Linked DNA regions of Coturnix japonica. The protein of the gene in region 2 interacts with the protein of the main gene of each other region in a biochemical or structural test. Links are inferred from orthologs where the notes say so. Each region holds a gene or a part of one and is shown on either strand. Other genes may lie near its edges.

Region 1 (3,912 bases), on a different chromosome or scaffold from region 2:
ATACTATTACCTGTCCAGCATTGCTCCCAGTTTCTTTGCAACGTGTGCTCTGAACTCTGGTGTGGTCTGTAGCTCATTTCCATCCTCATTGTGGCCATTCACCTCACGTCTGTTTAAAATGAAATAATGATCATCTCCTTCAAGAGCAATAACATCCAACACTCACAGTCAAACAGCAGATAAGGGGCTGTAAAATCTCCCACCCTGTAGTAACTAATCCACATTTGAGATGATAAGAGACAACTGCTAAGTAAAGCAAAGAACTCAACAGTTCAGTTCCTAACAATGAGTTAAACATTATTCAGCCATCTTCCTGGCAGCAATGGGATGATTTTCTCATTGAAACAGTCTGCAGAAGCAAAGAGATGATGGCAGGACATCCCCGCTCTGGTAGGAGCTTCTTGAATGCACTGCCACAATTCATGCAAATCTGTCCCAGAAGAAACATGTCGCTGAGCTGCACAGCTGGCAGCTTCTGAGACCAAGCCTGCAGAAATGCTGCAAGCTTACGTAGCTCAGCATCCCCCTTGGTACAAAGCACCTAATTCAGACATTGCTTTCCCACCCAATAAAGGATCAGGTTTTCAGTCACACTGGAATTATTTGCCCTTCTGCATACAACCCTCTATTTTTCAAGTAATCAGTTTTGTTGTATGTAACTATTAACGTTTTTCATGGCAGGGGCACGGGAGAATTAGGGCACAATGAGGCATTTCTGCTAACTTGAACTCGTGAAACTGCCAGCAGACATTTGTTTTCAATTACTTTTGCTTTACTGCTAGAGGGATGACAAATACACTTCCGAAATAACTGTATTCATTTATTAGAACTAAGCATCACTTCAGATCGCAATCACACCGATTCCAACGGCACAATAAGGCCTTGAGCAGCACAGCTCATGTGTTCCCTCAGCAGAACACGATCGATACCTGAGGCTGTGCCGAGCTGCCTGCGGCGGATCCTTCGGAACGGCACCTGCAAGGGAAGGGGCACGTCAGGAAGACGCGGCCATGCAGCGGCCATGCAGCAGCCGTGCAGCGCACAGAGCGGTCGCCGTCACCCCGCTCCCGCTCACCGCCCGCCCGCAGTTTCCCGCAGTCCCACGCCGCCTCCCGGTACCGCTCCGCCGCCCCGTCGCTGCTCTCCGAGTCCGAGCTGCTGTCCACACCACGGCCGGCCCTGGGCGCCGACATGTTGAAGCCACGCGCGTCGCGGGGCACGCCGGGCGCTGTAGTTCTCCCGCCGTGCCGCGGGGCATGCCGGGCGATGTAGTCCCGTACCACCGAGCCCCACGAGATGGCCGCGGCGGAACCGGAGCGATCGGAACGGGAGGAGAACGGCGGGAAGGGCGGGGAATGAACGGGAGGAGCGAGGAGACGGCACGGGGAACCGCCTCCACCCGCTGGTCCGAGGGCTGCGCTGGTGCAATACACCGAGTGCCCGGCAGTTGTGGCAGTGCTGCCGGGTCACCGTGTCCATACCGGCGGTACCGATGGATGAGCAGCTCAGCCCCGCACGGTTTTACACTGACACTAACTCCCAGCTGGCACGTCCGAACGTGCCGTGAGATCCGCGTGCTCCCAGCCCGTCTATGGCAGCGGACACGGCTCACACAGCGCCCTGCTCTAACAGAGGCTCCTCTCGCACTCATCACTGCGCTCCTCTCAGGGCGCTGGGCTCCAGGCTGGGGTTGTCCCGCTCCAAGTCTGTCCCAGCTCTGACAGCCCCGGGCCCGTCCTCTCCTCGTAGCTGTACACACAAATCCCTCCTCGAGGCTGTTCGCTCTGTCCCCGGAGCTGTTCCTGCTCACAGCACCGCACTCCGTTGCCTTTGTGTAACGTTCCCCGCTGTCACTTTCTCCCCCGCTCTCCCGGACACTCGCTGTCGCGGATGACGCGCAGTCCGCGCTCGTTCCAGTGGGAGGCATCGGGCCGCAGCCCCCGCAGCGCCTCGCGACGGACGGGCTGCGCTGAAAGCAGAGCGGGACGGCAGACGCGGCGCCCAGGCAGCGCTGCCCCGGCTCATCCGGCTGATCCGGCCGCTGTCCCGCGGTGCGGCAGGCAGCGCTCACTCACTCACAGCGCGGTGGCACAGACCGCTCGGTGCGGGCGGAACGCGGCCCCGCAGCGCGGAGCGGAGCGGCGGGGAGAGGCCGGTCCCTTCCGCCGGGCCGCGCTTCCGGGGCGATCAGGTGACGGCGGCCGCGAGCAGGGAGCGGCTCCGCGGATCCCGAGAGCGACGGTGAGCGCGGCCGGGGGGAACGGATCGGGTCCGGGTCCGGGTCCGGGTCCGGCTGAGGGGGTGGGGGACGGGGGGAGCCGAATCCGTGATTCGGTGGTGCCGGAACGAAAGGATCGGGCCGGGCCGTCACCGGGGCGACCCGGAAGGCCGAAGCCGTTTGCGGCCGTTCTGACCGAGCGGGACGGGGGAAGCCTCGGCAGCTTCGGGCCCCGGGCCGGTGTCGGCAGCGCGGGGTGGGCCCGGCCCGGGTTGCGCTCCGCCGGGCCCGCGGTGCCGCCCTCCCGCCTGACCTCCGGCCCCGCCGCCCTGCCGGGCCTGCAGCCGCCTGCCGGCACTCGGCGGCGGAGCTGGAGGCGCCCCGACCCTCCCGCACCGTCCGGAGCGCTCCGGGCAGCGCTGGGTGCGGGCAGGGCCGCCGAGCAGCCGCTGTGCGCCGGCTCCTGTTCGCTGCTGCTCCGCACTCGCCGAACCGCGGCCCTATGCCTGTTTCTCCCGTCGCGTTGCCAACAGCTTACAGAACTGTAATGTTTTACATAACAGCAGGCCAGGAGAACGCTCAGCTCCTGTTACCCAATTGGTTCTATCGCTGTGCTTTCTTTTTTTAATTTTCCCCTTTAGACTTAGAGGTAAGAAAATCATTGTTTCAACATTACTACATTTTCTCAGAATCTATATCACATTTCTATGGAACAAATGATAAAAGACAATTCCGTAGCCGCATTTCTGCTGGTTGTCAGACCATGGCACATTGGGCACATTGGGCACATTGGGCACATTGGTGAGGTGCACTGGTGAGGTGTGTTGGCTCTTTCCAGCTGCCCACAGAGCTGTTCATGAGGGCTGCACCCAGCAGTGCCTGTAACGCAGCCCTGTGTTGCGGAATCCCAATTAACAAAATGAGGCCAAGCGAGGGCACGCTGCTCTGCTGGTAAATGGATGCTTTGAGCAGAGAGATGAGCACACAGCTTTGGATCCTGGGGCTTTATGGTGAGACTAAAAAGCAGCTGCGTGGTGCTGCCTGGGTTATGGTAAGTGAAAAGATGGACTTAGAGGAAATGTTCCAAAAGGGTTAAAATATGTAAGTGGGACAGAGTAAAAATGTAACAAGATATAAAGTGCCTTTAATGATTAACAGTCACGTATCTGCTCACATCTACCTTAAAACAACTGTCGAGAAGTACACGTACCTTTTTCTGGACGCTGCCAACAATTATCAGCTCTGATCATCTGCGGCTTTTACTTGAAGTCCAGACAGCTGGAATAGGTTAAGAACAGACTTCTGTTAAACCTGCGTGTGACAAGTATTTATATAAACTGTCAGTATTTTTCATAGGGTTTCTGATGCTGATTTTCCTTTTCTACAACAGAGGTATCCAAAAAAATGACGTTATCATTTCGGTCATAGGAAAAACTGACACGTTTTCCTTTCCATTGAAACAGCAGGAAGCTGAGAAACTAAATCGGCTTGTTTCAGAAATGAATGAGGGCTGGATTGTTTCAGAAGTCCCAGAGAAAATAGGATTAATTAGCAAAGAAGGATGGAAAAGTGTCCTTCTGGTGGAATTCCAGTCTAACAATGCACTGTTTCATTGTTATGTGTTAGATGCTGGGAAAAGAAACAAGTTTCAAGTTTTATCAGTAAACCAACCAGTCACTGGATTTTTTTTCCCC
Region 2 (3,900 bases):
CTACCTTGAATAGTTTACTTCCTGCATAAGTATAAAACATGCGTAGAACAAGCGCCGTTTTCAGGGATTTCTGTGTATTTTTACACACCTCCTTTAATTTTTTTCTTTACAAAGGAGCGGATGTTGCTGTTAAGTACAGCACTAGTACAGGAAACATTACATATGCATCTGTCTGATAGATTTGAGACAGTGCTGGTTACTGTACTGTCTGTAGTGCAATTATCAGCCTTAGATTTCAGCACGGGATAAGCTCTGTTACCAGGCTGGTGCTTTAAAGGGGGCTTTCAATCATTATCTGGACGTACCCAAGATAATGTAGAGATCCATACCTTGAAGGCAGAACACTGAGCAGAACCTGGATACCCTTTTTATGGCATTTATCAAGTTGTATCAAGTGATCAAGTTGCAGAGAAAGTAATTAATTATTAAGCTTATTATCTGTATTCGAAGTACCTCTTAGGAGCTTTTCTTTTTTGTTTTGCTTGGCCACTAAGTAAATGGGTTTATGTCTGAACTCTCTCCTGACTTTTCTTCCTAGCCAGCATTCTATGTTGAGGCCGTCCTGTGTGCTGGGAGGCCAGCTCTGCTGAACTTCCAAAGCCAGGATGATGTCCACTGATATTTCTGCTGGAGGCTTTTTGATCTGGAGAGTTATTGCAGGGCTTCCGGGCTTTTTCCTTTTCACGGTTACTTCCACATCTACTAACAAAAAAGAAAGTAATCTTTTTTTTTGGAGGTTATTAAGATGTTTACTGAATAGGAATTAGTAATTGGTCAGAATCCTCAAGCATTTCATCCTGTAGGGTTGGTGAAATTAAGGAGGCCAGATGAGGCTTCCCTCTACAAAAGAGAAGCTCTTCTCGACCTGAAGCATTCGCATGATTTCTCTGTTTATTTTTAATATTGTGACTATTTGAGATGTCTTCTGTAGGCACCATAATGCTGTCTAATGAACAGGAACGACAAGGGAACATCAGATGACTGTGGAAAACGTTTAGAGATTTGTCCACAACTTGGCCAAAGGCTTATGAGGAAAAAGAGCACTTTAAAATGCAATACGTTTTATGGGTAGCTATGAAGTAACATTCAGTAATGCATTATCTGACTCAAGTAATGTAATTCCTTTTGCTGCTCTGGTGCATTTATGGTGATTTTTAGAATAAGTGCTTGAGATCACAGGGGAAGAGAGGGTTTCACTTTCAGTTATGATGCCCCGAGGGATAATTGAGTGAGGGGAAAGATACATATTGCATATATGGGATTGCAGATGCATTATTAGTGTGCCTGAGTGAAACCTGATTGTGCAGTACTTACTTTTAATGTGTTTTACTTCCTCTTTAATAATTCGCCTTAGTTCTTGCAGCATTTTGTCGGCTGATAATTTTCCATCTTCATCTAGAAACTTATTCATATACTTCTCTTTTGGACTTCTTTTGAACGATAGATAATAATAGGCTCCAGTGCCGTCACACTCATCTAGCTGCAGCCTTGTGACAGGCATTACAAGCATGATATCAAACTCATTTGGTTCAGATATCTGCAAAGGACAAGAACACAAGCATCACCTTAGGTTGTATTGCCTTTCACCTAAAGCTGAAGCTTTATCTACAACCACCTGGATGTATTTTCCACATCTGGAGTGAAACATTACCTTATTTCTGATGAATTTGTATTACCAGACTGATGTGCGTTCATGTGAAGAAGAGCAGTTTAGTGACACCGCTCCCCCGGTGGTCACAGGTCCGAGCTGCTGCAGGTCAAGCAGCCACTGACCACCACCTCCTGGTACAGCATCACAGCCAGTCCATGGTCCAGCGAGCAGTCATGGAAGCACAGAATCCTTGCAGCTGGAAGGGACCCTGAAAGGCCATCTAGTCCAACTGCCCTGCACCGAACAGCGACACCTACAGCTGGAGCAGGTTGCCCGGGGCCTGGCCTTGAAAGTCTCCAGGGACGGGGCATTCACCACATCCCTGAACAACCTGTGCCACTGCCTCACCGCCCTCCCTGTGACACACCTTTTTCCTTATATTCAACCCAAATCCTACCCTCTTTTTACGATCAAGGTTTAATTAAACCCTTTTTTCCTCGTGCAATCACTGCAGCCCCCGCTAAAGGGCCTGTCCCGTTCTTTCCTATAGGAAAAGCTATAGCTCCCCTTCTTGAGTCTATAGCTCCCCTTCTTGAGGCTATTCGGCCGCAGTCCGCCCGCCCCTGCCCCACGCTACCCCAGCCCCGCTCGCACCTTGACGTGCTCGTAGTAGCTGCCGGCTCCCAGCCTGCTGATGGAGCTGAAGCTGCCGTCCCTCCCTCGGACGGCCTGGATCAGGTGGGACACGACGTGGTTCACCAGCCCCGACGCCTCCGACACGTCCTGCCGGCCCAGGCTGAGCTGCGACAGCACCTCCCTCAGCCGCAGCCCGCCCGTCGCTCTGCTCCGCGCCGACAGGGTTCGAGGCACCGGGGTGGACTCAGCTCGTGCCCTGGGCACGACCGCGCGTGGAGCCCCGTCCGTGGGATGCCCGTCGGTCGCATCACCCCTCGCGGTCGATCCGCGTCGTGCCGCGGTGCCTCTACCCCGTGAGCCGCGAGGCCGGGCCGCCCTCTGCCTCGGCTGCCCTCTGCCCGCCGCCGTCTCCTCCATGAGCCTCACGCACCCACGCGGAAGCGAGCGCGACTCGGCGGGAAGAATCTCAGGGCGAGTTCCTCTTCCAGGCGGCGCCGCCGCTCTCGGGGAACCAAAACTCCCGCCAGCAGCCGGGACGAGCCGCCGCCAGGGGGAGCCCCAACGCCAGCCGAGCCGCCTCCCGCCCCCCGCCCCGCTTCCCGTTCCGGCCGCCCGCAGCCGCCATGTTGTTTTGCAGCGCATGGCGCCGCCTGGCGCCGCCCGCGGCTCAGCGGGCACACAGACGGCGGGCGGGGAGCGCGGCCCCGCGCTACGAAGTGCTGGTGATCGGCGGCGGCCATGCCGGCACGGAGGCGGCGGCGGCGGCCGCTCGCGGCGGGGCCCGCACGCTGCTGCTCACGCACAAGATCGGCACCATCGGTACCGCCGGGGGATGAGGCCGGGGGCGGCGGGGCCGCACGTTGCGGCGGTGCTGAGGGTGTCCCCGTGTGCTTGGTGCAGGAGAGATGTCGTGCAACCCGTCATTCGGAGGCATCGGGAAGGGGCACCTGATGCGGGAGGTGGACGCCCTGGACGGGCTGTGCGGGCGGATGTGCGACGTGTCCGGGGTGCATTACAAAGTGCTCAACCGCAGCAAAGGCCCGGCCGTGTGGGGGCTGCGTGCGCAGATCGACCGGCGGCGGTACCGGGACCGAGTGCAGGTGGGTGTGCGGCCTGTGCTGCGCGCTCCGAAAGTAATGCCTCCCATTTATTGCCCTGCAAACTGCAATAGAGACCGAGAGCGCTGTAACACTGGTTGATAGAGCAGATTATCAGCTACAAAACTCTATTTTTCAGCGTAGTAACCACCAATATCATTGTATTTTTGCTAGCAGTGAATAAGAACCTGCCTGCTGCACTCATAGAGGTGACCCACTGTGTGAAACACACCACCTGCTCACATCCACTCTGCTCTCCATAAATGCAAGCACATGTTGATGTATGTCAGTGGGTGCCATGTTACCTGCATGGAGGAGTTCACTGACACACCTTGCTTCATACACACTTCCATGTCAGGCACCATGTTGTCAGGCTGCCCCTCTGCTGCCATCTGTCACACAGCAACATCATGGAATAGAATAAAGACAGGACAGTTCAGCCTTTTCTGCTGTACCACCAACATCCACCTCTGACATAATGAGCCCACATAACAAGCTGAGAGGCATTACTTTCAGAGCAGCCCTCATACATTTGTAAAAGAGATGCAGCCAGCAGTGATGTGGCTTTATGCAGAG

The links.
Region 1: of the proteins of CGAS (region 2) and RNF185, one has a biochemical effect on the other in vitro, tested with the Homo sapiens proteins (2 studies listed by BioGRID). The link is inferred for Coturnix japonica from reciprocal best matches to the Homo sapiens genes CGAS and RNF185.

What each region holds. Positions count from the first base shown.
Region 1 is NC_029530.1:8,057,287-8,061,198, reverse strand, and holds the start of RNF185 (E3 ubiquitin-protein ligase RNF185), read left to right. Parts: upstream 1-1,466; 5' UTR 1,467-2,241; intron 2,242-2,573; exon of another isoform or gene 2,574-2,867; intron 2,868-3,912. UniProt on the Homo sapiens protein: E3 ubiquitin-protein ligase that regulates selective mitochondrial autophagy by mediating 'Lys-63'-linked polyubiquitination of BNIP1.
Region 2 is NC_029518.1:74,372,617-74,376,516, reverse strand, and holds the start of CGAS (cyclic GMP-AMP synthase), read right to left. Parts: upstream 2,870-3,900; coding exon 2,246-2,869; intron 1,538-2,245; coding exon 1,315-1,537; intron 703-1,314; coding exon 454-702; intron 1-453. Other genes in the region: protein MTO1 homolog, mitochondrial, read left to right, coding at 2,851-3,046, 3,128-3,327. UniProt on the Homo sapiens protein: Nucleotidyltransferase that catalyzes the formation of cyclic GMP-AMP (2',3'-cGAMP) from ATP and GTP and plays a key role in innate immunity.